4 linked regions of the Astyanax mexicanus genome follow. The protein of the gene in region 1 purifies or fractionates together with the protein of each later gene. This does not show direct contact. Links are inferred from orthologs where the notes say so. Each region holds a gene or a part of one and is shown on either strand. Other genes may lie near its edges.

The links.
Region 2: the proteins of fkbp5 (region 1) and cdk4 purify together in Homo sapiens (affinity purification with mass spectrometry; 3 studies listed by BioGRID and IntAct, counting the BioPlex papers as one, with this or other methods). This does not show direct contact. The link is inferred for Astyanax mexicanus from reciprocal best matches to the Homo sapiens genes FKBP5 and CDK4.
Region 3: the proteins of fkbp5 (region 1) and chuk purify together in Homo sapiens (co-immunoprecipitation; 4 studies listed by BioGRID and IntAct, with this or other methods). This does not show direct contact. The link is inferred for Astyanax mexicanus from reciprocal best matches to the Homo sapiens genes FKBP5 and CHUK.
Region 4: the proteins of fkbp5 (region 1) and prkaa1 purify together in Homo sapiens (affinity purification with mass spectrometry; 3 studies listed by BioGRID and IntAct, with this or other methods). This does not show direct contact. The link is inferred for Astyanax mexicanus from reciprocal best matches to the Homo sapiens genes FKBP5 and PRKAA1.

What each region holds. Positions count from the first base shown.
Region 1 is NC_064412.1:16,106,280-16,114,332, forward strand, and holds the start of fkbp5 (peptidyl-prolyl cis-trans isomerase FKBP5), read right to left. Parts: upstream 3,105-8,053; 5' UTR 3,011-3,104; coding exon 2,916-3,010; intron 1-2,915. UniProt on the Homo sapiens protein: Immunophilin protein with PPIase and co-chaperone activities. Component of unligated steroid receptors heterocomplexes through interaction with heat-shock protein 90 (HSP90).
Region 2 is NC_064431.1:16,097,819-16,105,625, forward strand, and holds the start of cdk4 (cyclin-dependent kinase 4), read right to left. Parts: upstream 3,327-7,807; 5' UTR 3,060-3,326; coding exon 3,057-3,059; intron 967-3,056; coding exon 746-966; intron 1-745.
Region 3 is NC_064414.1:37,826,183-37,834,406, forward strand, and holds the start of chuk (inhibitor of nuclear factor kappa-B kinase subunit alpha), read right to left. Parts: upstream 3,243-8,224; 5' UTR 2,731-3,242; intron 1,344-2,730; coding exon 1,239-1,343; intron 1,044-1,238; coding exon 949-1,043; intron 859-948; coding exon 741-858; intron 610-740; coding exon 540-609; intron 438-539; coding exon 349-437; intron 265-348; coding exon 175-264; intron 1-174.
Region 4 is NC_064408.1:16,914,606-16,922,380, reverse strand, and holds the start of prkaa1 (5'-AMP-activated protein kinase catalytic subunit alpha-1), read right to left. Parts: upstream 3,261-7,775; 5' UTR 3,112-3,260; coding exon 3,015-3,111; intron 1-3,014. Other genes in the region: kyat1 (kynurenine--oxoglutarate transaminase 1), read right to left, coding at 6,838-6,897, 7,584-7,670. UniProt on the Homo sapiens protein: Catalytic subunit of AMP-activated protein kinase (AMPK), an energy sensor protein kinase that plays a key role in regulating cellular energy metabolism.

The sequences.
Region 1 (8,053 bases):
AACAACTCTAAAAAAACACTTATTTTATTTAAATCTCAACATAAAATGATTTTATCAGAGATTTCATCAATACATCTGTATAACCTTATCTCTTCATGCTCCGGTAAAACAAGATCTTATCTTCAGGCTGTGAGTTTTCTGAGTGGTAAAGCAACACAGAAACATTTCAACCTAGTAGGTTCGATCAGAAGAGAGAGGTTAACCTATTACACCACCAAACCATGAGACATCTCTGATCTCAGATTTCTATTTCCCAAGACTATCTTGTCGCTGTCCACTGAAAAACAATCTCTATCTCTAAAACAGCAACTTTACAGTTTATTAAATTTCAATGGAAGTCAATGCAAAAAGAGTTAATTTCATGCAACTTTGGATCATTAATATTGGTCTATTCATCAAGAAATTTTGACGCAGTGAAAAGATTAGTGTGTTTAAATGATGTAGTAAACTAAAAATCAACTAAATTAGAGATATTTGTTTTTTATTGGACAGTGATGATCACTGGTCACTGCCCTAAAATGATCTATCAACTCAAACAAAAGCCAGCAGCGTAATTGGTGCTGTAATTATGTCCATCCACGATGCTGTTTGGGGGCTAATTAGGTTGAACGGTTTAAATCCGCAGATTGAGTGAAGATGAGTGTCTCGTGAGTATTACGTCTAGGGACTGACCAGAGAGATGTAGGAACAAAAACACATCAGAGAAGAGAACATTCAGTCCAGTCCTGCAAGATACACACTATGACTCAAGGCTCTTGCTCAAAAGAACTTAATGTTTATCCGCACACACAGACGCACACGCATGCACACACACATAGAGGAAATAAAGCAAAAACATGTACCATGATATATGTGGAAACACCCCATTCATACATATGTTTAACTGATAACAATGACAGCAAAATACAATTCAAACCACATGGAAATGAAGATACACACTCATATGAAAGTACTGAGCTTTAACTCAGACGTGGCCACTGTGCTCTCTGGACGTGACGCATGATGATTTTGAATACAGCATTATATGTTAGCTTCTCAATTATGTACCTAAAATTTAAGCTGATAAATCTTCAATTAACACTCATCAATTAAAAAATCACATGGTCTTGCATAACCAGTGAGCATTGGTTTTTTTTTTTTTTTTTTTTTTTTTAAATAGCTTTTAGTGTGTGTGGTGGTGATTGATTAGCGAATATGCAAAGAAAAAATATCAGTCTTAGCATTGACTTCTGTCTTTTTATGTAGTATATAAATTTAAATATTTGCTCTGTGAATGGATTAGCAGTATTAACATTTAAGGAGCTGAATTCAGGTCTACAGTATCTGGTCCTGGGAAAAAATGATTAAATATTTGCAATATATTCTAATTAAATATATATAAATTAAGTAATATATGTATTATATAACAGAGTATATCATTAGAGGTTACATTTTCTCATATACATATACCTAATGGCTATTTTTTCAATATATATTCCTCACACCTAATAGCTTCTCTCACTGCTGTAAGCACAATTACCAATTACTTTCTGGAAATCTGTGTTAACCTACATGAGCAAGTCTTATACAGGTCATTGCATCTTTACATGATTCTTCATTAGATAATTGAATTAGACCTCAGCTCTCACTCGTGTGGTTCACTCTCAGCATACGCTCCTCGAACAAAGATGAAGACACATGGCTGTTGACTCATTTCGTCCTCAAACACATCATCTACACCAAGACACAACAGCTTAACAGCAAAACAGCTTAACCTCATACACACCGATACACACAAAATGACACATATGTTCTTCACACATGTGGATCTCTTCTCTCCATTCCACTCCATTTTCATACACATCACTCTTCTTTATATGCCTTCAAACAAAAGGCTCAATTTGTTACGTGTCAAACACAGCATTCCACTGATGTCACTTTACTCTCCGCTTTGTACAAAATGTTCCAAATGAACAGGTATGTCCTGCATGCAAAAAGTGGGGAAATTATCATACGCACACACTTGCATAAGTCTAAGAAAGAAATCCTTGAATGTTGGCCTTCATTGGGAAGACAGATAAGCCAAGGCTAAACAGTAACATTTCAGTCTTTGTTCATAGTAAAGTATCTGGCCTCTCGTATTTACAGAATCCTTCTAACATTACAGCTTATAATTAAATGCTTGGTCCAGACAGTAGGCAACACTTTAGTTTTAATGATGGGGACACTGGGTGAGAGAGTGTGTCTCCACATAAGCCTCTGTACAGAGAGAGAGAGACGGGTTTACTGAGTTGTTTTGAACTCTCTTTCTCTCTCTCCCTCTCATCAGTGTTTAAGAAGATGCCTCAGTCTCCCTCAGTCTCTCAAACTGTACATGTATGTGCAGCTTAAAGCAGGACATGTATGAGCTTCGTGCATGTTTTTAAATTATGTCATACATAAAAAATTATGTGCATAAGTTGGGTTTAAATTGTTCTTTGTTTTGAAAAGTTAGCAGATGACATAAATGACAATGCATTTTCAATAATATACATAACATGTTGGAATTTCTTGCAGTAAGTAGATAGATAAAAGATCATTTTAACTAAAAGACTGATATTTAGTACTGTGTATATATATATATATATATATATATATATATATATATATATATATATATATATATATATATATATATATATATATACATTTTGGCCTTAATATGTTTACATCTACAGATGGATATAGGTTATGTTTAAATAAAGAGAACAGTTAAGTGTACCAACTAGTAATATTTTGTTTTACTTTTTATTTTATAATGATGATATGATTTTTATTTAATGGTTCTAACGTTTTATCCATTACAGTTCAGTCCAGCTTGTGTGTTTACATGATCAGCTGATGGGATGGTGTGGTGGAAGCAGCTAAAGGATGATGAAATTAAGGAAAATACTCACAGTATTTCTCTTTTGTACCCGGGTCCTTTCATGTGTCTCTCCGTGTGTATCCGCATGTAACTTTGGCTGAGTCTTACCGGCGACGAGTGCAACATGTAGCGCGAGCGCTTTAACGGCGATGCGCGTGCTGCTGCTCTGACGCCGCCCTCCCGGCGCGAGAGTACTCAATGTTCCACCGGCACGTTTCGCCGTGGGTCTTTTTTTTTTTCACCTTAACCTCACCCGTATTCCGAGAAGCCACGCCCCCCGGCGCCTGGATTGGTCAGTATTTCACACGCTCGAGCGGTCCACTAACGGGCCAAATTACTGGCCGGTGTTTTTTTCACATTATTATTATTCCAGTCCACGTTCTTTTTTATGTATCTTTTTATTCTTTGCAACCATTGCATTCCTTTTTACTAAGTAAATTAAGTGCGATACTCCCTTTGTGCCCCATTCCAGACTCCTGCTCATGCTTTAATGGAACACAGTGTAATAAAGAAGACGGACTGCACACGCTGATCCCCTTTTTTGGCAGGATTAAGCTTTAAAATACATAAATAATCACGCATTTCTTCTAGAAGCTGTGTCTCAGTGTGTGTGTGCCTCTATTAGCATGGACTACTGACCAATCCCAGCAAATGTGGGCGTGGCCTGTCGGAATATGGGTGGGGTGTAAAACACAACAGCGCTCAGGAGAGCCACATGGAGTAGACTGGGGAAGGGGAGGGGCGACGAGACATGTGGGCGTGGCCGAAAATCCGAGAGGCAGGTCCTGTAAACTCTCCACCACCACAAAAGTAACACAGTGTTCCGGCTGTACTGTAGCTCGCTGTGATGAGAACACAGTGTCCTAGCTCAGACACCCTGACCCGTAACCCGTTACGCGCCGACTCCCGCAGGGAACAGCGTGTTCACGCAGCCTGCTGTGCGCTACGGACACACCGCGAGCATTGTGCTTAGTCCAGATAGCCAGATAAAGTTTAATTTCTAGCAGTAATAGTATTAGTAAAAGGCTTTTTTTATGTCTTTCAAAAACATATTTTTTATTATTTATTTATTGATAATTTTGTTTATTTGTTGTTGTTTTTCTTTCTTTAAACCTTACACCTTTCTCAGTCTGGCCTCTTTTTCGCTTTGTTAAATTAAATATATATGAGTGGCTGGGCAACATAAGAAGACTGTAAAAAGACTCACACCTGTGTTCCTCAGCGTAGTGCTCGTGTTCGCCTCAAAGAAAGGAAAAGCAGCAGAGTGTATAGTGCCAACAGGAATGGCCTGCAAGAAAATAATCAGATTTCTGTGAATAGGCCTATTGTGAAATTTTCACTGTAGATCAAAATAGGTTGGTACATGCCAACTAGACTAAACAAAAATACCATCTGCAAATCTCCACTAATTCTGTTGAGCAAGTACATTTATTTATTTTTCAGAGCTCAATAAGTAAACATATTTCATGTTATCAAAGCATAAAACTACTCTTCCTCCGCTATATAGCTATTGATTTGACTATAATAACTTAAATAACACACAGTTATACCTGTATTTGCAACATGTTTGTTCTCTCATAGTGCAGCAGGAGACATGACGTTTCCCCCTCCAGCTGATAACCCTCAAATCCAAAGCCTGTCTGCCTTAAGATCTTCTTAGTCATACTGTCCTGCAAGAGATCAAGACTCACTGTTATATTAATTGTGGTGAAAAAAAGTCTAAGCAATAATTACTAAGTTCGTGACAGTGATAAAAAATGAACCCAAATCCAATATATAATGAATGGTCTGGAATCAGCTTGTTTTTCTTCATACACTGAAAATAAAAAGGTATATTGTATGCCAATGTATCACTTTGACAGAGCCTCATGTTTTCGAGTGTCAGGTTGCCAGAAACTGTACACTTTGCTTCTGCAGGCACCGTATCATCACTGAGGATAACAGCATCAAATGCAGACTAGTCTTGATGCCTAAGCACGCAGTTGGCAGTTTAACAAGGCTTAGTGTGCAAAATGCTCATTAAGGATGACACAAGAACTAAACAAAGAACACTCAGAGCCATTCAAGGACACAGGTTCAGAACAGCACATTACCCTGCCAGGACTGTGCAAGTGAGGCCAAAGATCAGCATTTGCCCGACTCCTGCTGTGTGTGTTTTAAAAACAAATTAACCTGGTAACATTCAGAATGATTTTCTTCTCAATTGTCAATTTTATTAAACATGCTAATCAGATCCATGTTTGTTGCCAAGATTTTAACTGATTGATTGTTTACCATGAAAAACAGTGCTGTGTAAGAGAACATGGTGGTTATTGAGCAAGACTTACAGCCAGTTTCATAAAAGGAGTCAAACATTGTAATGAGGAACAGTGAGGTGTCTTCACTGTCAGGCAAAGTACACCACACCCAGTGTAAAACATGGCCTACACAGGTGCTATTCTTTGACTTGAACTTTTAAGTAAAGGTCACTGTCTTACATCATCTTTATTTACACAAAATGATCCTCTATAATTAATGTTTATTTTCTTTAATTTAATTATAATATGATTCTTTCTACAACAAATTGGAGAGGAACTGATTGTGGAAAGCTACTATTCTGTTATTATGTTAAATCATAGTGTAATATTATTTTTATGTTTATTTTTCTCTGACTTTGAAGTATTTAAAGGAATCTATGACAGCAGTTTAGTTTTCAGGATGTGACTCAATATTTAAAATTGACAGCAGGCTATACAGCAACTGCACCACCTACAAATACGACCATCTGTTTGGATGATGACATACTGTACATTTCAGTTGACTGCTGAGAATTCCAGTAGCACTAACTTATGAGACACCTAATTATAATGAGACACCTGACTGCATTCCAAACACATTTTCTAGGATCTAAAAGCCCATTTAACTCTTCACCTTTTCGTAGACAGTGTCTGAGAGTGTCCTAATAAAATAAAAATTGTATTTCTGCCCTTAATTACTGACACTTTGTAGTTCTACATGTAGTACATCATGCTACAAAAATAAGTAACAATATGTCATTACTTCATGATGTTAAAACAAATGTGAACAAAATAATACTTAACACATAAAAATACTTAAAACATAAATACTTTATATAAACAAATATAAAAAATAAGCATAAGCTTCCTGTAAAAGCATTGCTCTATTTTTTGTTATTAATCTCAGTACCTGCATGCATGTGGTTTACATGCATATCCATCTGTCTACAATACAGTGACTTCAGTTTTGCTGTGTATACAGACAGATAAGGATCATCTTTCATATATATATATATATATATATATATATATATATATATATATATATATATATATATATATATATATATATATATATATGTGTGTGTGTGTGTGTGTGTGTGTGTGTGTATTCCCTGTTTGCAAGTCTGGATGCTACCTGTATTTTCTTGTCATGAACTTGTACTAAGCAATTAAAGCCTAGTTAAATTTTTCTATAAAGCGTTTCACTTTTAAACTAATTTAATCACTTTACGTTGGGGTCAGAAGTACAGTAGATGAAAAATCCAAACTGAAATAAAAGGTTTTAAAGGTTGTAAAAGACAGAAAAAACAGCCTTGTGGCTTGTGTTTTTAAACATAAACGTGAATCAACTTTCCCAGAATAGCAATGATAAAAACGTAAAAAGCGGGGGAGGAACATGTGGTACATGTTGTACTCATGGTAGTTAATTTCCTCTATGCAAGAACACGACCTCAGAATCCCTCATGATACGTTTAAGAAATAAATAAAGTAAATGTCTGTGGGTTCTGTCGCTGTCACTGCTTTTCCACTGTTTTCTGTCACTTGAAATAATTTATTGCCAGAACCATTTCATAATAGCCCACAAACACACTTACACACACACCGAACAGAAAAAGGGGTCAGTTCACAAAAACAAAACTATATATATATATATATATATATATATATATATATATATATATATATATATATATATATATATATATATTTTTTTTTTTTTTTTTTTTTTTTTTTTTTTTTTAATAAAATATAAATATTAATATTAAATGTAATATTCATACTATATTTTAGATGATGAAAGCCTTGCTGAGCTACTGTCAGGTGTGCTCGGGAAGGGAATGGTTAAACCTGTATAGAACACGGGGTCCCCAAATCTGGAGCTGAGGATATGTGATTTTTTTTGTTCTGTTATCAGAGAGAAAAACAACCCAAACGGAACAGTTTCTATCTATCAGAACAGAACAGTCTAGCGGTGAAATGTTAAAATTAGTCCTGTTTTCGGGAGCAGGGTAAAATTGTGCAACGCTTGAATATGGGCTAGTCTGTACCCCCTGAATCCCCCTGAGTGTGAAAAGGATTCCATCACCAGCGCTAAACACCACAAGCTAGCTAAATCTGCCGGAGCGACAGTCCACCCGGGAACAAAATGTCCTTGTTACTCATAACGTGGAAGTAAGTCGGCTGGTCCATGGCGGAGCCGTCAGCCGGAGCGAGTAAGGCTTTAGAGCTTCGGAACAAAAGACATTTTTATTGCGGAGTTCAGGGTAGCCTGCCTCGCTTATCTGTTGTGTGGCTTAGCCTCCTGTTTACTCATCCAGCCATTGTGTTAGCCAATAGCCGCTCAGTGTAGCCGCCAGTAGGACCCAATGTCCTAGAATGTGTACATCCCACCAAAATACCCCACAGCAAGCCCACCAGTACTAAAACACAGAGGAGGCGGCGGGCTGGATCACATCACCCTGTGCGTTAAACAACACCCTTTTAAATTAGGTATGGTAATGCAATTGGAATAACGGCGAGTTTTATTTATTTTTTATCTGACGCCATTGTGTTGTAGCCCTGTATTTATTTCTTTTATTGTGTGTGTTTTTTAAATGCGTTAAACATTCATCGGTAGCTGACTGGTGACTATCAGTAGTACTCAACAGTAGTAGGTTATACATTACTCTTAGTGTGTGTGTGTGTGTGTGTTTTGTAGGTACATTTGTGTTTAATGGGCAGTGGGGTGAGTTCACACAAGGCTACCCAGTCATCAGGAAGTGAAACAGAACAGAATGTGCAGTACTAATCTGTTTGAAAAACACTCTCCGCGCCGCATGTGGTCACACACACATCCACATTACACAGCGGATAAAGAGAGATATGTTTTATTTCAGCGGCCAGGATGGCT
Region 2 (7,807 bases), on another chromosome or scaffold:
TGGCCATGAATATTAATTTACAGGTTGACGTAGACACAGGTTCTTTTTTTCTGATCGACTCGTTTTTCTGAACATTTTCTTTTACTAGCTACTGCAGACAGTGGAGATTAAGGAAGAGTTTCATGCGCAGCATCCATATACAATTCAGAGAGACCTATTGTATTTCATAAAAAATAAGAAGGCGGATTTTAGTGTAAGATGAAATTTAATATCAAGGTTTCCTACACGAGCTGAAGCTGAGAGCTGGTACTTTTTGCTCCTGGGTTCCCCCTACAGGTGTGGAGAGTAATTCCACACAATAGTTAAACTAAGACCTCTGTTCGTACTGATACACATTTATCTTGTGCGCTTGTTTATGGCTGCCTAGACTGCTGCCTTTTTTTTTATAATTGTCTCATTCACCGTCGCCATGTCTGTTGTTCTCAAAATCTGTTAACTCTAAAGTTTCCTCTAGTTTACAGTATGTGTTGCTCAACAAAGAACGCACAGGATGTAAGCAGTGACCGTTAAGTAAATAAAGCAAATATAAGTGAGTATTATAATCACTGCAGTAAATATAAATCTGGCTCTGTTTGCACTATAGTGGACAGCTGTACACGTGCATTTCTGGACAAGCTGTGAGATGTAGAAGCAGTGGACTGATGTGGTAGAGGAATAATAAAGGATTTTACATCAACATGACTCAGGTTAGGCAGAGTTACATAGTGCAGCATTCTGATCCGAAATGGGATCAGACAGTACATACTTGACAATATTTGGATGGTCGAACTGCTCCAGTCTCTTCAGCAGGGCCACTTCTCGAACTGTTGACAGCGGGAGGCCCTCCTGGTCAGTCTGAACACGGACACTCTTCAGGGCCACAAACTGACCACTCTGTGTATCCCGAGCCTTATACACAGTCCCATATGCACCACCGCCGATCTCCGCCACCGGTTCATACTGGACCCCGCCCTCCTGGGTCATAGCCTGCAGAATGAGGAGATTAAAGAGCTAATAAGAAATCAATCAATTTATGTAAACCTGAATTCATCCATTGAATACTTAATATAATATCTTCTGAATATAGACTTCAAGCCTACAGAAAAGGAAAGATAATGGAAACAGATATTTGGAACATTTCTCTTGGTCATTATAAACACCAGTAAGACTGACAAATAAAAAGATATGAAGGATGCAAAATGACATTTTTTGGCCTAAACCAAAATTAAAACCTTTGACTGAAAGCTGAATAGCAAATCATATGGGATCTCACAATATAATATAATATATTGATTAGGACCATCAGGTGGAGTACTGAAGAAGTAACTTCATTAAGTCAAATTGTGAGACGTTTTAATAAAAACAATGTTTGACACTGGTTAATGATAATGTATTGCAAACTAAAATGACAATATATGTAGTTATTGGTATTTTCGATATTTTGTTTCACTTCTAAATTATTTGTCCTAATAACCTGTTTTTTTGCAAAGAAAATACAACTATTTAACATCAATTCTTTGGTCTTTTCACTTATTTGGCCAAACAACCAAAGTGCTGTTTTTGTTAATTACATCCAAACAATTTCGGCGAATGCCTAAAAACAATAATCACTTTTATTACTATGCAAAATTAGACACAAGTGAGTACAAAAAGAAATTATAGCAGATATGCATTGTGCTGTTGAACATCTTTGACACTTTCTGGCCACAAAAATTTGGTTGCCAAATAATTTAGTGGTTTGAGAGTATATAGTGCATCACTGCAAAATATAATACTACTTATTCCATAATTATTATGCAAAACTATGCATAATTATGTACTTATAACAGCAGAAATGGCTTGTGTTGCATGTAAACACCTTTAGGCCAAGTGTAATACTGAAATGCTTAATAAATGCTAAGTGTGTGTACATTTCCAAAGTGACAGGCAACCTAACATTCCTGAGGTTCACCACAAACACACAAACAAAAACACACCTTCCCCATAATCACTTTTTACAGATTAACACAGTTTGTTTATCACATTTAATGTTGTTTCCCAACAAACAAACACATTGACTGTGGTGGGGTATATTTTGTAATTGTAGATCATTTGCACACACTACCTTTACTCTGCCTGTAACCATTTTATTTTACATTACTTTTACTACTTAGTACTGTTTTACTTATTTTGCTTATTTGCTTTACTTATTTTAATCTATAGCTAGTTTTAGCTTATTTTATTTATTTTTTTACACATTTAAAAAAAAACTTATAAATTTAAGCTGTTAATTCTTAAATGTTTTACCAACTTATACTACAGTTTTTCTTTTTAAAGTTTTTAACTTATTTAACCAGTTTTTCTCCATTGTTTTCGTCTATTGATTAAATATAAGCTCTGTACTGTTTAGAAAACACTGGCATAGTTGTATTTTGCTGTTATGCGGTGATTATATAATGACGTACAAAGAACAGGATTTTTAGAAGACTTAAAATCACTTTGCTAACTTGATTAAACATAACTGGCTCTTGCCTTATATTCTCCGTTCCACCTTAAACGTACAGCAGTTGCCGTCACTGCACATCAGACGCCCCGATGGCGCTTGAATGTAACTGCTGCACATTTAAGGTGGAACAGACAGTCCGAAGTTAAGAGTAGCTTTGTGCGCTATTTTAGCTCTTTAAAGTTGTATATTAATAAGAAACACGTTTTATCATTTAATAAATATTCAGGTAACACACAGATGAGTTTATATCACATATATTTTCATGATTATTTCTGTTTAAAAGATATGGAAAGGCCTAGTGTTTCCATTGGTGCACTGACTGGCCTTAACCAGCTCCTTCCTCAACACGTGGTGGCCTTCGGAGGGCTCTTTGTTAATTAGTAAGAATGGGATCTTACCAAAGCTGATCACCAATCAATAATCAAACTAATCAATTAATCTGATCACCAAGCACATGCTCACACACTTTAAAAGACTCCCAAGGACGCTGCGTAATTGCAAGACACACATTTGGTTAAAAAACAACAATATCTCCTAAAATTACAAACAAACCGAATCACACATCGAATTAATAAACAGTTCAGGCTCTTACCATCGTATTGTTTGCGAAGCAAACTAGCACGCTGTCTCCAGCCAGACTGACCACAAATCACCCCAATATTACCCAATAACCACCCCAAATCATCACATCTGCGCGTCCTCGCGCCCCGCGCGCTCCATCCAACCCGGTTAAGCGTGCGCGCTTCGGTATTTTTAGCGTTAACGATTAAAACGCAAATATTTTTACGCTTTTTCAGCTTTCTCGAACTTTTCTCCCCTTCTCACTTTGAACTCATTGTGAAAATGAGATGCTTCCGGTCCTGTCATGGGGGCGGAGCCTAAATGTGGAATAAAGCAAGTAAAAGGGGCGGAGCGCTGGTTGAATGGGCGGGGTCAGCCCACCCACATACACCCACTGCTGGGCCGAGGCGCTAGCCACGCCCACTTCGATTTCAGGCAGGTGATAGAAGTTAAGGGGTTTTGGTTTAAATAATAAAACTTTTTTGTTCGTTTGTTTGTTTGTTTGTTTGTTTTTTGTTGCAAAGAAAATATCAGTGTTCATCATAAATCTTTTCACTTAGTTGGCCAAACACCAAAAGTGCTGTTTTCTTTAATTATCATTATTACAATGCAAAATTAGTAACAGGTGAGTACATAAAAAAGAAATTATAGCAGTTATGTATAGTGCTGTTGAACATAATTCAGAAATTTTTTTAGCCAAAAAAATTTTCTTGATAAATAATTTTGGTTTGTGATTATATAGTGCATCACTGTAAAATATACTACTACAACAACAACTACTACTACTACTATAATTATTATGCTAATCTTTGCACAATTATGTACTTTTAACATCAGAAATGGCTTGTGTTTTATATAAACTTATGGCAAAGTGTAATGCTGTAGTTGTAAGTGTGTATACATATCCAAATGATAGGCAACCTAACATTACTGAGTTATTGGAATGTTAGGTTAGGTCTAAATCTAATTAGATATTAAATTTAGATATTACAAAAAAAAACAATAAGGGCCCAGACTAATTTCTAAATACTGATGCCCAATTCAAAATGTAATCAAATATATTCAGTGAGCAACTACAAAGTTGGCCAAACCACCTGTGAATGTGGAGAGGACCACACAATGCAGCACTGCCTTGTTTGCCCCTACTACACAATCAGTGCAGCTTAAAAGATCTTGCCATATTCAATAAAAACGCAAAAGACTGTGTAAAGAAATGGGAAACAATCATATAACCAACAAGCTTCAAGAAACGAAAAGAAGAAGAAGAAGTGAGCAACTCATTAATGTTTTTTTTATTATGGGCACTTGCCTGTAAATATATTATTTAATGTAAATGAAGCAATGACATAACTTTTTGGATTTTAACATTTTGTTCTAGAAATTCTCAGAATTAGTCTTATAGGGTTTCAAACATTAATTGTTAAAATGGATGAATACAATAGCAAAACATACACCTTTAAAATGAACTATCTCCAGCAGTAACCCAGCACACCTCTGTAAATAATGTCACATGATCACACATTTACACACAGTCCTGTAGTGATGCATCAGTTCCTTTAGGGTTAAAAGCAAAGAAATAGAGGAGTGTGCTCTCTTAGCATTTCTTCTTTGGTAATAATCTTTCATTTGTAATGATATTAAAAATAATCATGAATAATTAAACAAAATATATTAAACAATTAAAAATTTTAACAGCAAACAAAAAGAGGGGCGTTCAAAGGTCTGGGCACCCCTGCTCATCCTTGTTCTGTTACAGGGGAATGTTGCAAGTGAATATAAGATGATTTTCAAAAGGAATAAAGTTTAAAATGAAAAATAATGTAGTAAAAATTTCAATAAAAAATAAATGCAAAAAAAAAGCTTTCAGATAACTTTTACCAAGACCTTAATTAGCTTGTTAGGACTATGGATTGTTTACAATCATTCTTAAGACAAAAAAAAAAAAACAAAAAAAAACAAGAAACATACAAAAAGAAAGTTAAAGAAGTTTTCTTTTGTATGCAGTATGTAATACAGGTTGAAGTTGAGTTAAACAATTAAGTAGCATCACTGTGAGTCAAAACATAATCTTAATTTATAAGCAGAAATTTCGATTGACATCAACATTGCTGGTTAATTTAAAACAGGTAGTTGCTATGTGATTGCTATGGCATTTTTTGATTGTTGCTATGGTGTTTTTAGGCAGTTGTTTCATTCTTGCTAAATTGTTAGTAGAATATAATATTTTAGTTCCTGTATACATGGGTCCTAGGATATTGCTTTGAGGTTACAAAGGTGTATTTTTTGGTTGCTACTCCAGCTGTTGTTTAGCATTTGTTAAGTAGTTTCTAGGATGGTTTCATGATGGTTGCCTCAGAGTTACTATGCAGCTTGAAGTATTGTTATAGCAGTTATGATCTGCTATGATGTTTTATGCAGCTGTCAGTGTGTTGATAAGCGGTTGTCAGGACATTTTTAATTGTTTTTAAGGTGTTGCTTGGTTGTTACTAATAAATTTTCATCTGGTTGCTGTGACCCATTGTTATGGTGCTGGTTGGCTGTTGCATTGGCCTTAATAATAGATGCAGGGCGCAGTCCATTTCCATAAAGTCACACAAACCGTGGCCAAGCACCAGTCAGCTGCTTCAGTGGTAATTATACTTTCTGTGATTAGAATGCACGTGTATCTGGACAACAGCAGAATCAGAGGTGACATTTTTATTGTCAGATCGAGACATAAAAAAAATCAGCTCATCTGATGAAGAGACACTGACTGTATTAGTCTCAGCTCAGAGAGAGAGAGAGCGATTTATATAAACATTATTTAAAAAAAGATTGATAGAGATACATAGAGATTTATTTATTCCAGACGAAAAGTGACTGTTTACACACACACACACACACACACGCATTAAAATTGTGATTAAAAAACAGGGTTATTCTGTCAAATATTGATTTCTGAACTCTTAAAACTTTATGAATATGAACTTGTTTTCTTTGCATTATTTGAGGTCTAAAAGCTCTGCATCTTTTTTGTTTTTTTTTCAGCCATCTCTAATTTTCTGCAATTAATTGCTCTAAATGACAATATTTTTCATTTGGAATTTGGGAGAAATGTTGTCTGTAGTTTATAGAATAAAACAACAATGTTCATGTTAATCAAATATATGCATATAAATAGCAAAATCAGATAAACTGATTCATAAACTAAAGAGGACTCTTGATTTTCTTCATAGCTGTATATATGCGTACATATATATTTATATATTTGCTTCCTAAACCTGATAACTTGGTTGTGCCACCCTTGGCAGCAACAACCACAGTGTATGACTTTAAATATGGTGTTCTTGTTCTTTTCCGGAATAGTGCATTTTTTGTCAGATGTAACAAGACTCACGCCTTCCAAAAAGTTCCACTTTTCTCTCATCAGTCAACAGAATATTCTTCCAAAGTCCTGGAGATCATAAAGATGTTTTTGGCAAATAAAATACTTTTAGGTCAGCAGTGTTTGTTGCCTTGAAAATCTCCCATACCACTCTTATAGACCTTTTATTATCACTATGTGTTTTACTGTTAATATTGGATTGTATGTTGATGTACAATGTGTACAATGTAACACACACACACACACACACACAAACACACATATATTACTATATATTTTTATTATAATTTATTTTAATGTTGAGTAAATCTATCCATCAGTTTAAACCCTTATTATATGTGCTTTTCGACTTTCTGATCACATACATTACTCTGTGTGCTGAGTTTAATTAAATTATATATTCCACTATCTCTAAATTTAATATTTGTTTTAATTCAGTGGTCTGGTTGAATCTAAGCGGCGCGAGGATTCATCATCCGTGCGTTGAGAGGGCTGTCGCTTCGTGGCAGCAGGGAGCCAATCAAAACGCGCCCCACTGCGGAAGGCGCGCTGTGATTGGATGAGGCGTGCTGTTGCTAGGCTGATATACAGCAGTGCTTTAAGAACAGCCTATATTCCTTACAGTAAATAAATAAATAAACACATCAGAAATAATAATAATAATAATAATAATAATAATAATAATAATAATAATAATAATAATAATAATAATAATAATAAATCGACTAAAGGTTTTGTTATTTTTTATCGAGGCCATAATATATTTATTTTAGGATTTATTAACTTTAGGACCTTATTTGTCAAAACAATTTGTTAAACATTAGATACAGAGTCTTTTGTTTTATTTTTACAGAGTCCATGATTTTGTTTTCAATTAGTAGTTAAGTATTATATTATAAGTATTATAAGTAGACAAATATTTCAAAGTCTTAGTGCAAAGCATCTTCAAAATTCTTCAATTCAAAAAGACACCTTATTTATAAATTATTATTATTATTATAAAAAAATATGATTTTTATTTAAACACCTTTTTCATCACTACGCTCAATGTTGAATCAATGTTAAATCAAATGAAAATTGATGTGCATAAATAAATCAACCCTGATGTTGGAGATCAACATTTGAGATGGAGAAATAAGGGAATTATTTAATGTAATTTTGCTATCTGGGTTTAGCTATTGTGGCTAAAGTGAAAAAGGATTTTATGGCCCTGGGGCCACATCTGGCCATTCACATATCCACCTTAGAAACAGAACCTACTTCACTGCACTTGTTGAATACATTTCTTTTACATAACAAGAAAAAGTACTGAAAAAGAAATTAGGCTACAAATCAAATAGAGGAATAATGCTTTGAGTTTAATGTTGTTGTTTTTTTATGAAAAACATGGACATTTTATTCATAGTTGTTTATGTAAA
Region 3 (8,224 bases), on another chromosome or scaffold:
CGCTAGCACTCAAAATGTTATCAATACATATATAGTTCAGGTACAAAACATAAATTGCAAAAACACAAGAACTACCATTAAAACTTTGTAAATGTTTGTTACTGTTTAAGCAAGCAACACAGAAATTTAGTTTCTAACAATTTTCATTTCACAATAATTAGTCACAAGACTCACCAAATACTGAAGAGTTCCCACAAAAGATGTGCAAAGGCTACCTTGATCCAAATCTTTTGCATAGCCCAGATCTATAATCTTGTGTACTAACTAAAACAAGACAAACAAATTATACAAGTTAGCAAACTACTCATTTCAAACTGTAGTTTTTTTCACATATAAAATATCACATACCTTTCCATTAATCTCTTGAAGCACAATGTTCTCTGGTTTTAAGTCTCTGTGAATGATTTTGTTTGCATGGAGATACTGAATTCCTGAACCTGTTAATATAAAAAAACATTTTCAATAACAGTATTTTTGACACATCTGAGTAGAAATGGAAGCAAATACATAAGGATATTATCATAGAGGTGATACATTACCGACATCATTAAGAAGGGACAGCACCTCACTTTCTTTTAACCCACAGCAATTTTCAGGTTTGCTCAACAACTACAAAAAAAAAAAAAGAATGGTATGAGGAAATAAAGAAGAATGGAAAAAGGAAAGTCTTCTTCAAAGCAGGTGACAATTACATGACATGACAGACAGGGCAATTAAAATAAGCTAATGCTTGAGCACACCTTACGAAGATCTCCTCTGGAACAGTACTCCATGGCTAATAGAGGTAAGTCATTCAAGGCAATGTGTTTCATCTCTTCAGGTACATCCCGTGCTGTCACCACATTGATGTGGTTCAATCTAGAAAGAGTTAACCAAATATTAAACTTTGCATAAGAAATATATTCAATTTAGAAAGCAAATAAGTAATCAAATTCCTTATAAACTTACTTTTTCATGATCTGAATCTCTCGACTCCATCTGTCTTTGTTTTTTGCGTTGAGCTCAAGCCGGCAGAGTTTCACTGCAATTTTCTCAGCGGTTTCCTACATGAAATAAATATCATTAACTCAACAACATAAACATAATGTAGCTACATTATAGATGATTCAGACATTCCCTTCAAAATATTCTAATCACCCACTACTTCCAAAGCTCTTCACTTGGTCTATTAGGTAGGTACTTGGTGCAGACTTTCCCCACCTACAACCCTAAGCGGCCAAAAAACAAATTTGCTTTACCTGATGTTGGTAAAGATACACATGACCAAATCCTCCGGTTCCTAGCCTCTCCTTCATAGCCCAGGGTCCACATACTTGAGTCTGTTTGAAAGGTGGTTTGTCCATCTAAAGGGAAAAACACTTGTTACTTAGGCCTGTCATAATAATTGCATTATCTAATTGCACAATATGTAGACATGCATATGAACATAACCTCAATATGTTTACGGAATATAGCATGTATAATTGTTGAGCCTAAATGTATGTTATATAAACACTATGTATGTTCCTGTTCTAATCAATAGTACTGATAATTAAAACGTCATTGCCATTCAAAGGGTGGTAATGCATTATATGTGACAGAGTAATATTGTGCCTTTTATTTGCTGTGAAGCCTAAAGATTATTTTTTAGATTTATATGCTTGCACTTAAAATGATTCAGTACAAAAAAAGTCAAGTTAGGCAAGTTAGCTAAGCTACTGTTTACTAAATAGACAAAATAAGTTTACAGATTTGTTTTGTTTCTGCTATATGCTTAAAGATAATAACTACACTTTCATGAAATAAAACTTAAAGGATTCCAATATTTTGTTGCAGAAGTGATTTCTTGCAATATTATTTAACAAAATATTACTGTTTTTCATCATGCCAAGAATATCACTACCGGAAAAATACCCTAAAACGTCGCAATATTATTTTCCGGCATGTTTCACTTCAATTTCTGAATCAGTTTATCTGATTTTGCTATTTATAGGTATATTTGAGTAAAATGTAAACATTTAATTTCTGTTTTAAACTACGGACAACATTTCTTCCAAATTCCAAATAAAAATGTCATTTAGAGCATTTATTTGCAGAAAATGAGAAATGGCTGAAATAACAAAAATATGCAGAGCTTTCAGACCTACAAAAATGCAAAGAAAACAAGTTCATATTAATAAAGTTTTAAGAGTTTAGAAATCAATATTTGGTGGAATAACCCTAGTTTTTAATCACAGTTTTCATGCATCTTGGCATGTTCTCCTCCACCAGTCTTACACACTGCTTTTGGATAACTTTATGCCATTCCTGGTGCAAAAATTCAAGCAGTTCAGCTTGGTTTAATGGCTTGTGATCATTCATCTTCCTCTTGATTATATTCCAGAGGTTTTCAATTTGGTGAAATTAAAGAAACTCCTCATTTTTAAGTTGTCTGTTGTTTTTTCGAGAGCTGTATGTAGTTAGTATCTAGTTAGCTAAGTTACCTAGTGTTAGTGATTTAACCTAGGTTACCTCGCTAGTTAGCTAACTAACAGCCTGAGCGACAGCTCAACACACTTGTATGTTTTGTATTTAGTCAAGTGCTATAAACAGCGAATTAATAAATTAACTGGTTAACTTGTGGAGTAATATTTATTTCACTTAGCTAATTAGTTAGTTAACGCTAAGCCTGACACTTCATTATCACTTATAGCTAACCAACAAGCGCTAACGTTAGCTAGCTAACTAGCTTAGCTAGCCAAGTTATCTTACCGCTGCCCGGTCTGGTCTGATTCACCAATCTGTGTGGCTAGCTTGAAAGTAGCCTGTAATTTGTGATGTGAAGATAATGTGCCAGATGTGAAGATAATGGAATATGTCAGTTCGTAGAGAATAACGGCGACATCCATGTCATCCTTGCGAAGCCCCGTTAAAACGCAACGTTACTGCTATTAACGTTACTTGGTAAACAGCGAGCCAGCTAGCCGCGTTAGCGTTAGCCAGCTACACGTAAACAACTTGGGGTAATGCAGCAGTCAATTAGGTAACCGCAGCTAGCAGCGGAGCTAGCTCAGAAAAGTCAGCCTCACACCAGCACTTCTCCCTGAAACACCAAAACCGGCCCAGATAACAGCCGCTAAACAGCACTACGCTACAACACAAAGCTTAAAATCGAGATTTCTTCAACGACTAAAGGAACAAACGCTGTAGACCAGCGCCTCACATACAGCTAACAAACTGGCTAGCGCTAGCACTCGAAATCGAAACAAGCTTAGTGCGCAGGCGCGCTGCAGACTACCGAGTTGCCGTTTGAGCTGATCAGAGATCAGTCTCCTAACGCAAATCCCGCTCTTTACACATCGCCCATTGCTAACAGAACCGATATCAGGTCAGCAGTACAACCTGATCTATCCACAACAAGCCACGCCCAATCAGGGCACGCTCTGCTCATTAGACACGCCCACATCGACACACCCACTAAATAGACCCGCCCACTTCAAGGCGCCCACTTAAACTCTTCTATGTCTCCGTATTTATTATCCGTATAATAATAATAATAAAACTTCAAAATAACAATTTCTGCATAATAGGTCCAGTTACAGTAGCATCAGCTAAATTCTTAAGCCGTATTCTTATGTCATAGTAGATAATATATGGCTGTCATATATTTTAGGAATTATGATAACTTTGTGTTATCAGAAATAGTTGTTACATAAAAGTGATTCCTGTCATCCCATTCAAAGTGCACTAAAAAGCCACATTTGGTTGCGGTTGGTTTAGTAACAGCATACACCTGCTTTAACTCATTAAGGAACAATGAGAAAAAATACAGTATAGCACACATGACGTGACACTGAATTTGTGATAACAGTTGCATATACAGTACTTTTATTAAAGTAATGATGGCAGTCACAAAGAAAAGGGGGGTTATATTGTACTTACCGTTGTTGTCTGATCAAGGGCTTTTCAGTTCGTATCCTAGATCATTTAATTCAATTCAATTCAATTCAATTTTACACAATTGGAATTGCTCTTGAGGGTTGGTAGGTGGCACTCTTTCACCACGTCACTTCAGTTGTAATTTTCATCAGCACAGACAGCTGTTGGCAGATGTATTAGATCTGGGGAGCTGCTGGTTACCCAGTAATGCTCCATCAATGAAGTCCAGACAGAGGCTGTGTCTGACTTTACATGTGTCAGAGGAGGCATGTGATAGTCTTCACTCTCCTAGTGCTGGGGGCATTGCTTGTGATAGGGGAGTTTACATGAACATGGATTGTGTAATTGGCCTTCCAAATTGGGAATAAAATATATTTCACTAAACTCTTTAGTAAGATCTGTACTACTATTACTAGTTTTTATATAAACAGCCAAAATCACCAATTACAAACAATGGCCTCTTTGGACCATCTTGTAACTTCTTAAGAACCTGCTTCATCCATAAATAGATCACAGCACAGCACTTGAAACTGTGGTAGTGGGTAAGATTTTAGTTTGCTTTTTTGAATCTATAAATACTGTATACAATGGTGTAAAATATTTGTTGCCCCCTCATGATATTTTTTGGCATGTTTGTCACTCTTAAATGTTTCAGATCATTAAACAAATTGAAATATTATTCAAAGACAACACAAGTAAACAGAAAATGCAGTTTTTAAATTAAAGGTTTTTATTATTAATAAGGGAGAATAAAATCCAAACCTACATGTGAAAAAGTATCTAAGTTTTGAGTTCATATGTACATAGTATGAGAAATGTAATTTGAGAGCCTGCTATTTTTTGTTAGGTTTTGTAAGTGTGTAACTTTACAAATTCAAACTACAGTGATATTTAGTTTTAACTTCATCAGATCATTCCGCTGCACCAAAATCATCAGGCTGATGCTTTGTTACAAAACTGCAGTTAAGGTTTCTTAATAATAATAATAAACTCGGTATGTACTTTTAAGCACAAGCTTGTATTGCCAAACATTTCCTGTAAGCAGCATCTTAACACCCAGAGTGTGTATATTTGGCCTTCTAGTAAACAAGAGGTGAATAAGTCAAAAGGAAACCACCCTTTTATCTGTCTTCCAGGAATATATTCTATTCAGGGCTTTTTATATATATATATATTGCATGCTGATATATTTATGTATAAGATATGTTAATCTGCAAAGAATGGCTATTATAAAGAGTGGCCATTAAACCCTTTATATTTCTGATGCTAACAGAGATTGTATTAATGAGGTGACCGGCCACTGGTAGATTTCTCGTAATGCTTATCGTGGTATCTGTTGATGGATGAAGCCCTACCCTTCAACAAAAAGAGCTAATCAGCTTGCTGATCAAAGGAGGGCCAGTGTTTTAATGGGAAAGTTCTCCTCAATGTGGAGATCTGTGCAAGCGCAGTAGCTGGAACAAGCCGAAAAATCACTTTTTTCAATGTACATGTTTTGACATCAGCTTTTCAAAACAATGCTGATCTCTGGCCAGCTGTTCAGATGAGCATATTTGTTGCGGTGCGGAGGCAATAACACATTATACAGCTGCTCCTCAAAACTTTCTATCCTGTCTAACCTGTATGAACAAAACACCAAACGAACAAACGAATGCAGGATACATGAGGCAGACATCAAGCATATGCAACATTAATATTAACAGTAACAGTAACATTACCATTAACAGTAATATTAGGTGTAAGGCTAACAACTAATTAAGTCACTATGGCCATTTTATACAAATAACAACAGATTACAGAGTAGACAGAGTGTCTGAACAATTAACAAGCCGAATGCTACAACTCAGCTAATGCATGTAATGAATAGTACAGTCCTGCAAATGGTCTGTTTTAGCCAATGCAGTCAATCATTTCAGTCCTTAGCATAAACTTGTCTGAGCTAAATAAGGTAAAAAAAAATAATTTCTGGAAGAAAATGATAGAAAATGAGTCAATTTTAGCACAATGAACAGAACTAAATCGTTTTTTCTATATACATTCATCGGCACTCATGAAAAACATTTTGTTCTTAAAATATTTTTTCATTGTCCAGAGAAATATTTCAAGTGTGAGAAAATTATGTAGCCTCCCTTTTCTCTCTATTCGAATTTCTCTGAAAGTGGTGCAGGTGTGATGTGTTAGACAGGAAAAACGGAATTGCTGTGAATTCGCAGTGTGACAGCCTCCCAATGATTCATGCACACAACAGCTGTGTCACACAGCAGCTGCAGCTCTGTGTGTGTATGTGTGTTATAATTCCCCTTTTTAGATTTTAATAAATACAGTACTTTAACTTGTAGATGGCAGTAGAGGAAAATACAAAACACACTGAATATAAAACTGAAATCAACAAGCAGCCACAAAACAAACTCCATTTCGTAATTCAGTATTTCTAAAAACATTTACATTGCAACATGCAACAGACAAGTGCAGATTAAGAAATGTTGTATTATAGGTAAATGTAGAATGTCTTTTGATACAATTAAAGAGAAAATCAAACTGTTTTTGCTGCTAAGTCCAATCAAAAAGGATGACAAAACTGTCATTATATTATATTGTATGTATTGGGTCGCTTCAGATGACCAAGATTGAGTTTAATAATAAAACAAATCAACATATATAGTATAGTATAGACAACATATCCAAATACAGTATATTATGTGTATAACATATATAGTAAATAGATACTGTGAATACATACATATATTTTGTATTATAGTGCTAACAACTGAAACCCATAAATAAAAAACCTCCAACCGGATCTATGTTAGACATTGTATTGCACATTCCCCCAACCACTGAATTGCACTGTACAGACAGTATTGCGCAGTTTCCTCAGAGTCTGGCTTTTATATCTTTTTTTAACTGAAGTCGGTACAAACCTGCTTTTAGGATGGTTAGGTTTAAACCTGAGTGCTTCTTACCTACATACCTAACTCTGTTCAAGAGAATATGAGCTGAATACACAGTAACATTGTTTATATTACATAACATTACATTACATTATGTTTGGCAGACTCTTTTGTCCAAAGTGACTTGCAATAGTGATGTACATTTAGCAATAGAGGACATAGAAGTCCAGACAGACAGATAGACAGACGGACGGACGGAAGGACGGACGGACGGACGGACGGACGGACGGACGGACGGACGGACGGACGGACGGACGGACAGACAGACAGACAGACAGATAGATAGATAGATAGATAGATAGATAGATAGATAGATAGATAGATAGATAGATAGATAGATAGATAGATAGATACTTTATTGATGCCTGAGGGGAAACTTTGGACATCCAGCAGCAGGTATACATAGTACACAAGTTACAAGAGAAGGATAAGATAAAACAATACATATAAAAAATCAATAAAATATAAAGTATAAAAGAACAGGAAAGCGAATAAGGAAATGAGATTAGAGGTAGTTAGCTTGTTGGGGGTTTTAGGAGAGTAGGTGCTCTTTGAAGAGCTCTGTTTTCAGGAGTTTCTTAAAGATTCTTAAAGCAAGAAATTCTCCTCTTCTGGCATTAAAAGGTAGTTTGTTCTACCATTGGGAAACTATGATTGCTTTGTGTGAATGTATGGCGGTGTGAGAGAACTAGGTGGGTTTAGAAATAAGGAATAAAGCAGAAGGTTGTTACAAAGATTGTTACAAAAGCAGTGATTCTTAACCATCAGTTCTTGGGGCCCACCAGCCAGTTCCACATATTTACACATAAGCAAAGATGTAACCTTTAAATGGGCCCCAAGCCAGGCTTGAGAAACATTAAAGTTTGGATTAAGCATTTAAATCAGCTGGATTTGAAAACACATTTTACAGATATTGAAACCATGGCCTTGAACACACACTCTTACATTAGTGAATCTGGGTAGTGGGAGCACACACACACGGAATGATGGGCAACCACCTCCACAGCCACAGGAGTCAGGTGCTTTGCTTATGGGCACATAGGTGGTGTCAATGGTTAAAGAGCTGGGGTTCGATACCTGGACTTGGCAAGGTGCCACCATTGGGTTTTCATCCCACACTGTCACATGTTAACATATGGGTAGCTCACTCTGCGTTCACACTGGAAACAACAACACAACAGGTGACCATTCATTTCCTATGGCAGGGCGCGATTTGTCGCCGTGACAAACAAGAGGCGACAAGCGATAAATGTTTTTCAACTTTATGCAAATGAATTATGACGCTGTGAATGCTGTGGCAGTCAAACCTGATTGGCTTCTAGCATTTCTTTGGACCAATCACACACAAGGCGGTCCGAGGTCCTCAAGCTTCTGCT
Region 4 (7,775 bases), on another chromosome or scaffold:
AAACAACAGAAAGTGCTCAAGATGGAGAGAACAAATTGTTCATATTGATTTAACCAGCGCTCAGGTAATGCATTAACCTGGCAGCCAGTCAACCAAAGCAGAGTGAGTCACTGAGGAGGGTAAATGGCCTCCGGTTTGCAGAGCCTTTTTAAGAGTGAGACTACAGAACCTATAAACAAATAACCTTCTCTTTGGCCACTGAAATGATCCTCTCTGGCTTTGAATGTGGCTTAGACAAACATGCATGAACTGTAAACAGCAAAGCATGCTGTGAGCAACCATCTGGGTTAAAAACACAAGCCTACATAGCACAAACTCTGAGTTTTCATTAACTAATGGTTCATATAACTCTGTTATTTAACATCTATTTAATTCTCTATTAACTATTTAATCTAAAGAATAACTACAATAGGGGTAAAAAGTGTCTTTGTCTGCAAAATTAAACAGATTGCCAATAGAACAGTGATAATATTGTGTAATTCGTTAGTTGTAGAGGATTCTTCATGAAGAAGCTCCTATATTTATGAAAAAGTAAATTACCATAGCCTAGCTAAGTTACAGCCTTCATACATTACTCGTAATCTCATGTAATGTTTCTTTGTTATGAACACATGAAATTAAGCAGTAAATGAAAAAGCATTTGGCCTCAACAATTTCCCATTTTTAACTCAAAGATGGTTTGGAATTAGTTGAACAGAAAGACGTGAAAGAAGAGCAGCCAACAAGTAAGTGCTCAGGACCTCTGAAAACTTCTTCAAAACTGTTGGACAAATAATTGAGGTTCAACCTCATGAGGTGAACAGAGAGAAAACCCAGAGTTGGCATAACTGTCATCAAAGAATATGGTGCATCTCTGAAGAAATATTTAAAACATATCATTGAATGTTTAACACTTTCTTTGTTTAGTACATATTTCTATTCATGTTTCTTCATAGTTTTGACAGTCTTCAATACTAATATTAACATTCTGGATTTAAAAAATTAAAACAGAAAAATTTAATGAATTTGAAAGGGGTGCACAGTACTTACTTAATATTATTTACCATTATTTTGTTTTTAAAATAAGTAAATAATAATTACTAATGCACTTACTTAATGCACCTAGTCTAGGCAGCAGCTGTCATCAGCAGATAAACAAAAAGGTAGTCTTGGATACAAATTAAAACATACAACACCAGCGCATACACAGAACAATAGAAGACTTGCAACTAAACTAGTGGTTTATACAGGCTGAAGTAGGTACAAGAGCAACGCTTAGAGAAAAGAAAAAGATAAACATGTATTACTGCTAAGTTTAAAAGTTGGAGACAGTAAGTCTAGTCATTTAATGGTGAGTGTGTGGCATAATCCACCACCCTTGCATTTCACACTGATTGGATGAGTTCAGATGCCTGGATTTAATCACTAACTACAGTTTACACAAAAGAGAGCAATTGAGAGACCCTCAGAAAAAAAAATCCATCAAACTTCCAATACTAAAATCATTCTACCCTCATTAAATGAATTACTCTCAACCACAAACATTTAAAATCATAATTAGTGACCACAAGTAAGGTAAAAATATTCAATCATAATACTTAAAAACATTTTCACAATATGCAATACATAATTCTAACATGCAGATATTAAATCCTACTATCTAAACCTGAACCTATGCTTCACTTAGTAAGTTGTTTAGCACTGAAATAAGGAGCAGGACTTCTTTTAAAGTTAGAACACGTAGAAGGCATGTTGCACCTTATATCAAAGCTGATAGAAAAGATGCTAGAAATGTGATCCTTTGGGGATTCCTAATATATATTAATGCTTAGAGAACAAAAAGTACATAATGATGTCAGCCTGTGTTGAATAAACAAGACCCCGACTCATTCACTGCAGTTGCTGTACAAATACACCTCTGGACACGCTTATGTACTCAATGTATAAGGCTTTTAACACCCTTATATTTTTAATGATATAATTTTCCTTCTGGTTGCAATAGTTAAGCTACTTAGTGTAGATGACTCAAATTATTTCAATAATATAGTTACACTGATCATAAAGCAACGTTTAGCAGTTGAATTTTCTGACAATAGAGAATTGGGTATAAAACTTAATCAAACATTTTTTTTTCATTCAACAGAGTGAAGAAAAAATTGGTTTTCCTCCAAACTGTTAATTATCTAGTTTTTCATTTTAGCCTTTCGCAATCAGAATTGCAAGAAAAATGAAAAGGTAAACCTTCTCTCGATTTTGTGGGGGGGCAGACATAAAGAAATTATTTGGAAAAATGGATGAAAACTTATTTCTTGTACAATAAACTACATAAAAAATAAATAATGAGTTTTTACATCCACTTTTCCATTTTTGCATTTAGCTTCAAACGGTCAGACTTACCTTTTAATTTTTCGTGAAAGGCAAAGGCTGAAGTGAAACTACAGAATTAATCATTTGGATTTCTTCTTTACTATACTGAGTGAAAAAAATGTATGACTACGGTTTATACCCAATTTTCGAATTTTATTTATATTTTCTTAGTATAATTTTCTAATTTCGAATTTAGTTTGATACGGTCAGAAAATTAATCTGCTAAACGTTAAACTGACCGGGAACCAAGTCTGCTTAGCCTAGCTAACCTAGCTCCCGTTAAAACCAGCGGGCTCGCTAACAGATAAAGCTAGTGCCAGCTAGCCAGCTAGTTATCGTTAGCTAATATAAACAACCAGCGTACGGACCCGAAACAGCAGAATAATCAACATACAGCATATAAACAGCGCTAAACCTCGCTTCAAACTACTTAATGCGCGTAGTGTTGACGGCCAGGGAGACTTAATTCGCTTCTGAAAAGCTGCAAACGTCAGTTAACGTTAGCTAGCCTAGCTTAGCTAGTGTTGCTATGCTAGCGGTTAACTAACGCGGCTAACGGGTGGGTTAGTTTCCTTAGCTACCTGAAGCCCCCACTCACTCACTCACTCACTGAGTGATAATCATCATCCTCCGGACGCGGATTTCAGCTAAAAATACACAAGATTTACCTTTAACTTTCCCGAATGTTCCCACTCCCAGCGTGTCTCCGAGAATGTAATGACCGATTTTCACCCTGCCTTCATGCTTGGGCTTGTCAGTCGCCATCTTCCCCACGTTAGCCCGACCGAGCCGAGGCGGCGGGGCTGGGCAGCGGCGGTGCGGATCTGCGCGGCGGAGGGACGGACACGATCACAGCGGAAAGCAGCAGCGATACTACTGAACTACCCAACTACTGCCGAGCTACAGCGGAGCCGGTCTGAGTACAGAGCTCCGCCCACAGTGAACTACTCAGACTGTAGGGGGCGCACTGCAGCCACGGGATTCAAGACTGCTCGATTCAAGATTCGACTCGGAGTCGACTCTGAGTCATAAGCGTGTGCCAAAAACTATGGCTGCGTCCAAAAACTTTTCTAATTCCAGGTCTTATTCCATCGTTTTTCATTCAAATGTCGAGTATGAATGAATGCTGAAGTGCTTCAGTGTTTCTGTATAACCCTGCTTTATTTCACTGGATTAGTGGTCTCTGAAGAAGGACAGGATTTCTGCTCTTCAAGTCATGTTAAGAGACTCTGATTCATAAGCCTTGTCCCAAACCATGGACAATTTAAAACTGTCTAGTTGTGGTCTCTAGTATGAATGAATGCCATGTGAGCCCTTTTTTTGTAAAAAAAAAAAAAAAGTATTAGTGGTCTCTAAAGAAGGACATGATTTCTGCTCTTCAAGTTAAGTTAAGAGGCTTTTGTTATGAAATTACGTTCCTCCGGGACAATGGTGCAAGATCAAACAACAATACAATAGACAACATAGAGTGTGTGTGTGTGTGTTTGTGTAGAATGATGGGTCGGTTCAGTACAATCTTTATGTGTATGTGAAAAGCAGTGGTGTGGGGGGAGGGGGGTGTCAGATCAGTTCTGTGTGAATGTGTTGGGTGTGTGGGGAGGAGGTTGATCTCTGTGATCTCTGTGAGTTGAGGAGTCTGACTGCCTGGTGGATAAAGCTGTTGCAGAGTCTGGTAGTGGAGGCTTGGATGCTCATGTATCTTCTGCCAGACGACATCAGAGCAAAGAGTCCGTGTGAGGGATGGGTGGATCGTCCACAATGCTGGTGGCTTTGCGGATGCAGCGCAGTGTAGATGTCGGTGATGGAGGGGAGAGAGACTGATGATTCTTTTAGCTGTCCTCACAACTCTTGTCCATGAATATTCATACATGCAAACATATAGCCTTTGATGGGCTAACAGCACTGCAGCAGAGAACTCTTCCTGCCTTCCCCCAACAGTCAATTTTAGAGCTCTAAAACTCGAAGGACAAAATGAGTGCTAGGTAGAGTTAACCCTTACACTTTCCTTAATGTCAGACTCTCAGAGCCCCCCGCGGCATTGGTGACATTTCTTTCAGCTAAACCAACACTAGTAAACTCTTACCTCAGACTTGGTGATTCGGTGCTTAGGCAATTTCACCACGTTGAAGCCCCATAGAGTCTGCTCTATATCATAAAATCGGGTGATTTGACCTGTGTTCTGTCGAGTTGTGCTACCTTGTCAAACCGTGCTTCCCTAGTGTTTATTTAAGGTCTCTGTAAAACGAGGAATCCACCGGAGAGCCAATTTAAACCTACAATTTAAACGCGAACTAGCTGGTGAGGCTATGAATACTATTTCACAAGTTGATGTGGAAACAGATGCTTTTCTTAAACAACAATTTTTCTGAGTATTTTCTTTTCTTAGCTACTGCAAAAATGGAGGTTAAAGAACAGTTCATATGCAGCCTGCATATACAACTCAGAGAGACCTATTATATTTCACAAACAACAAGAAAAAGTGGATTTTACATTAATTTACTATATACCATTGTTTCTTGTGTATTTACACACACAAGAAACAATGTTTTTCTAATTTTTGAAACTCAGATTTTAATGGTTCTTAAAATGTGTCCAAAGCATATTTTTAGATTTGTGCTAAATTATTATCTCATATGGAAACATGTTAAGATTAAACCTCAACACAGATAATTACAGTTAGCCGACATGTTTTATTAGCACATAATACACACTTTTAAAGCACAGGATCTTAATGACTTGAATTGTGCATCAATATGTAAGCAAACATAGAAATAGATTAGTTCACTATTGACCAATAACAAATGAAACCACTTAAGGAGTTTAAGAATCTGAAGCAGCATAAGATGATGCAACATCATGGCAGTATTCACTGTTTATTCTGTATGTCATTATAGGTGTTTTCTAGCTAATCCAGAAATATATTAATGGGTAGGTTAGTTTAAGATAAATCAATTTCACGTCCTTTGTTTTTGCTTTTGGGTTTTAATTTCTGAAGTGTGGAACTATACTGGTTTTGCAGTGAACATTAGCATAGATAATATGTGCAGTACTAATGTGCTGATTGCATTTGAGGAAGGCAGTTCCTTTCGTTCAGAAACTATTGTTACTCCTCCTCTCCTACTCCAGAAGAAGGATGTAATAGGACATTGAATATTGATAAACTGAGCCAATCACAATGCTCTTTTTCAGCTCCCCTAACACTGCCCAGACAATCACAGCTGCTGCAAACAGTCAGCTAATGTAGGGTCATCTGGATAAATATGAATGTTTATTTAAACTTCATTTAAAAATACTACATTTCTGAAATTATGTAAAATTCCACAAATTCTGCTTGTTTTTAAATTCCACAAGTTCAGGTTAGACTTGAGATATCCCACATTAATGCACTTTGTTCAAACTCAATATAGAATTCTACATATAATGAGAAGACACAAATTCAACTTCAAAACATGTTTTATTTTACACTGATCCACCTAATTCCAGTACAACTTGCACACACCAAAATGGCATTAAAACAAACAGGATGGAAAGTAAACTCAACAGACAAACAGACATCTATTTGTACATCATAATCAATAAAAACAGTGTGTCTATTGTATAGACTCACAAATAATCTGTATGAGCAATAAGAAGTTGATTTCTCTAAAGGAGTGCATTTTTCATTCACACTTGTGCAACACTACAGTCAACCTGAAGTAGTTTTAATGAATACAACCCAATGCATACAGCATAAGCAATCAGACTACTGTTGTTTAGTGTGGAAAGTTGCTGGATGGGCTGCTGTGAGCTGAGGTAGTTTAACTAATATTAAACAGCTGACTACAACCAAATCCTGAGAATTAAGCAAAAACATATATTTTTGTGAAAAACAAAACAAAAGATACCTTGATCAAAACTGACAAATGTACATAAGACTGTGTTGTTGTTTAGTACACAATACAACTCTATTAAAATGTTAATTAACTGTAATGTTTCTTTTTGATGGAAGCAACTAGCTCCCTCTGTTGGCCAAACATGTAAAATCACCACATGTAAAATTAACTCCTCCCTGTATGAATGCATGATTCACTTACTCACTAGAACAGTTTTAGATAAGCTGCATCTCAGCAAATACTGCTGACTACATTCTGTTCAGCATAACTTTTTTTTTACAAACATTTTGAAATATAGCAAATCACATGAATCATTATGATACGTATTTCTACCTCAGATGATTCAAAAGTTTCACTTCCCAAATTTCTGTTACGGGTTCTATTTAAGTTTGTATTCATTCAAACAAGATGAATAAAAAAATACTAAAATCCAGCTTTTATTAAACAATTTTGTCAAATATTAAAATATAACATTTTCTAAATAAACACTTTTCTATAGAACTATACTGAACCAGGCGTCCTTGGCTAATTATATTGTCCAACTATTGAGGTCTGCTGTGTGAAGCTCATATTGGACGGCTTTAAATAATCATCTAATGTCTTCAAAAGTGGCCAGCACTCACTGTTTGATTCTCCACTGTTTCAGTATATCTTCTGCTGCCTTCAGTGTTGAGTCCTCCTATTTTAGGAAAAGAAAATTAGAATTAGAAATAGAATTACAAATCTAAAACCATGCCTTTACAATGTTTCAATATACCAAAATATGCCTGCTCTTATTGCCATCTTTGAAGAGATCCCATTACATCAGTGTAAAATGCACAAGATATATCTGTTCTTCTAAAAAATGTTTCAGTGTTTGTCAGTGTTATCACATTTTAATGGTGATACATTTTAATGATACCCTTATAATTTAATTTGGCATAAACAGACAAAAAGATAAAAAATGAACTGCGACTAGCGGTTGAATATCGGAGGTCAGTAAAGTCCAAGATCAACCTTTCTTTGCAGAGACTGACTTCAGTACTTCAGTTGAGCCAACTGACCAACTCACTCAGTGGAACTCCATCACTAGCAAAGCTCCCAACACTAGGAGGATGAGGATCAGCACATGCCTTCTCAAATACATATGAAGTCAGCCACAGTATATTTTTTATCTGCAGCATTACTAGGTAACCAGTGCTCTTAGAGCAATGCACCAGACCCCCATCTATAATATATATTAGCTAACAGACACCAGCCAGCATCACAATCGAAGAAACGAGGAGAGAGAGAGAGAGAGAGCTTGACCAGTTGTGGTCTGGCTCCAGGCACTTATTTAAACAATGCTATTCCTATTACTTCTTTACCTAAAATGAATCAAATTACCTTGACAAAGCAGAACCTAATGTACTTCTGGAAGTCACCACTGTGTTCTTGGCTGTAGAATCCAGATACAGGGATGGTGGCCAAACCCTGAGGGCACATATACAACACAACCTTATACATTTCATTAAACAACTGTAGGTATCTTTGGTTCAAAGGTTGTAATATGTTACATGTCAATGTGATGTATACACG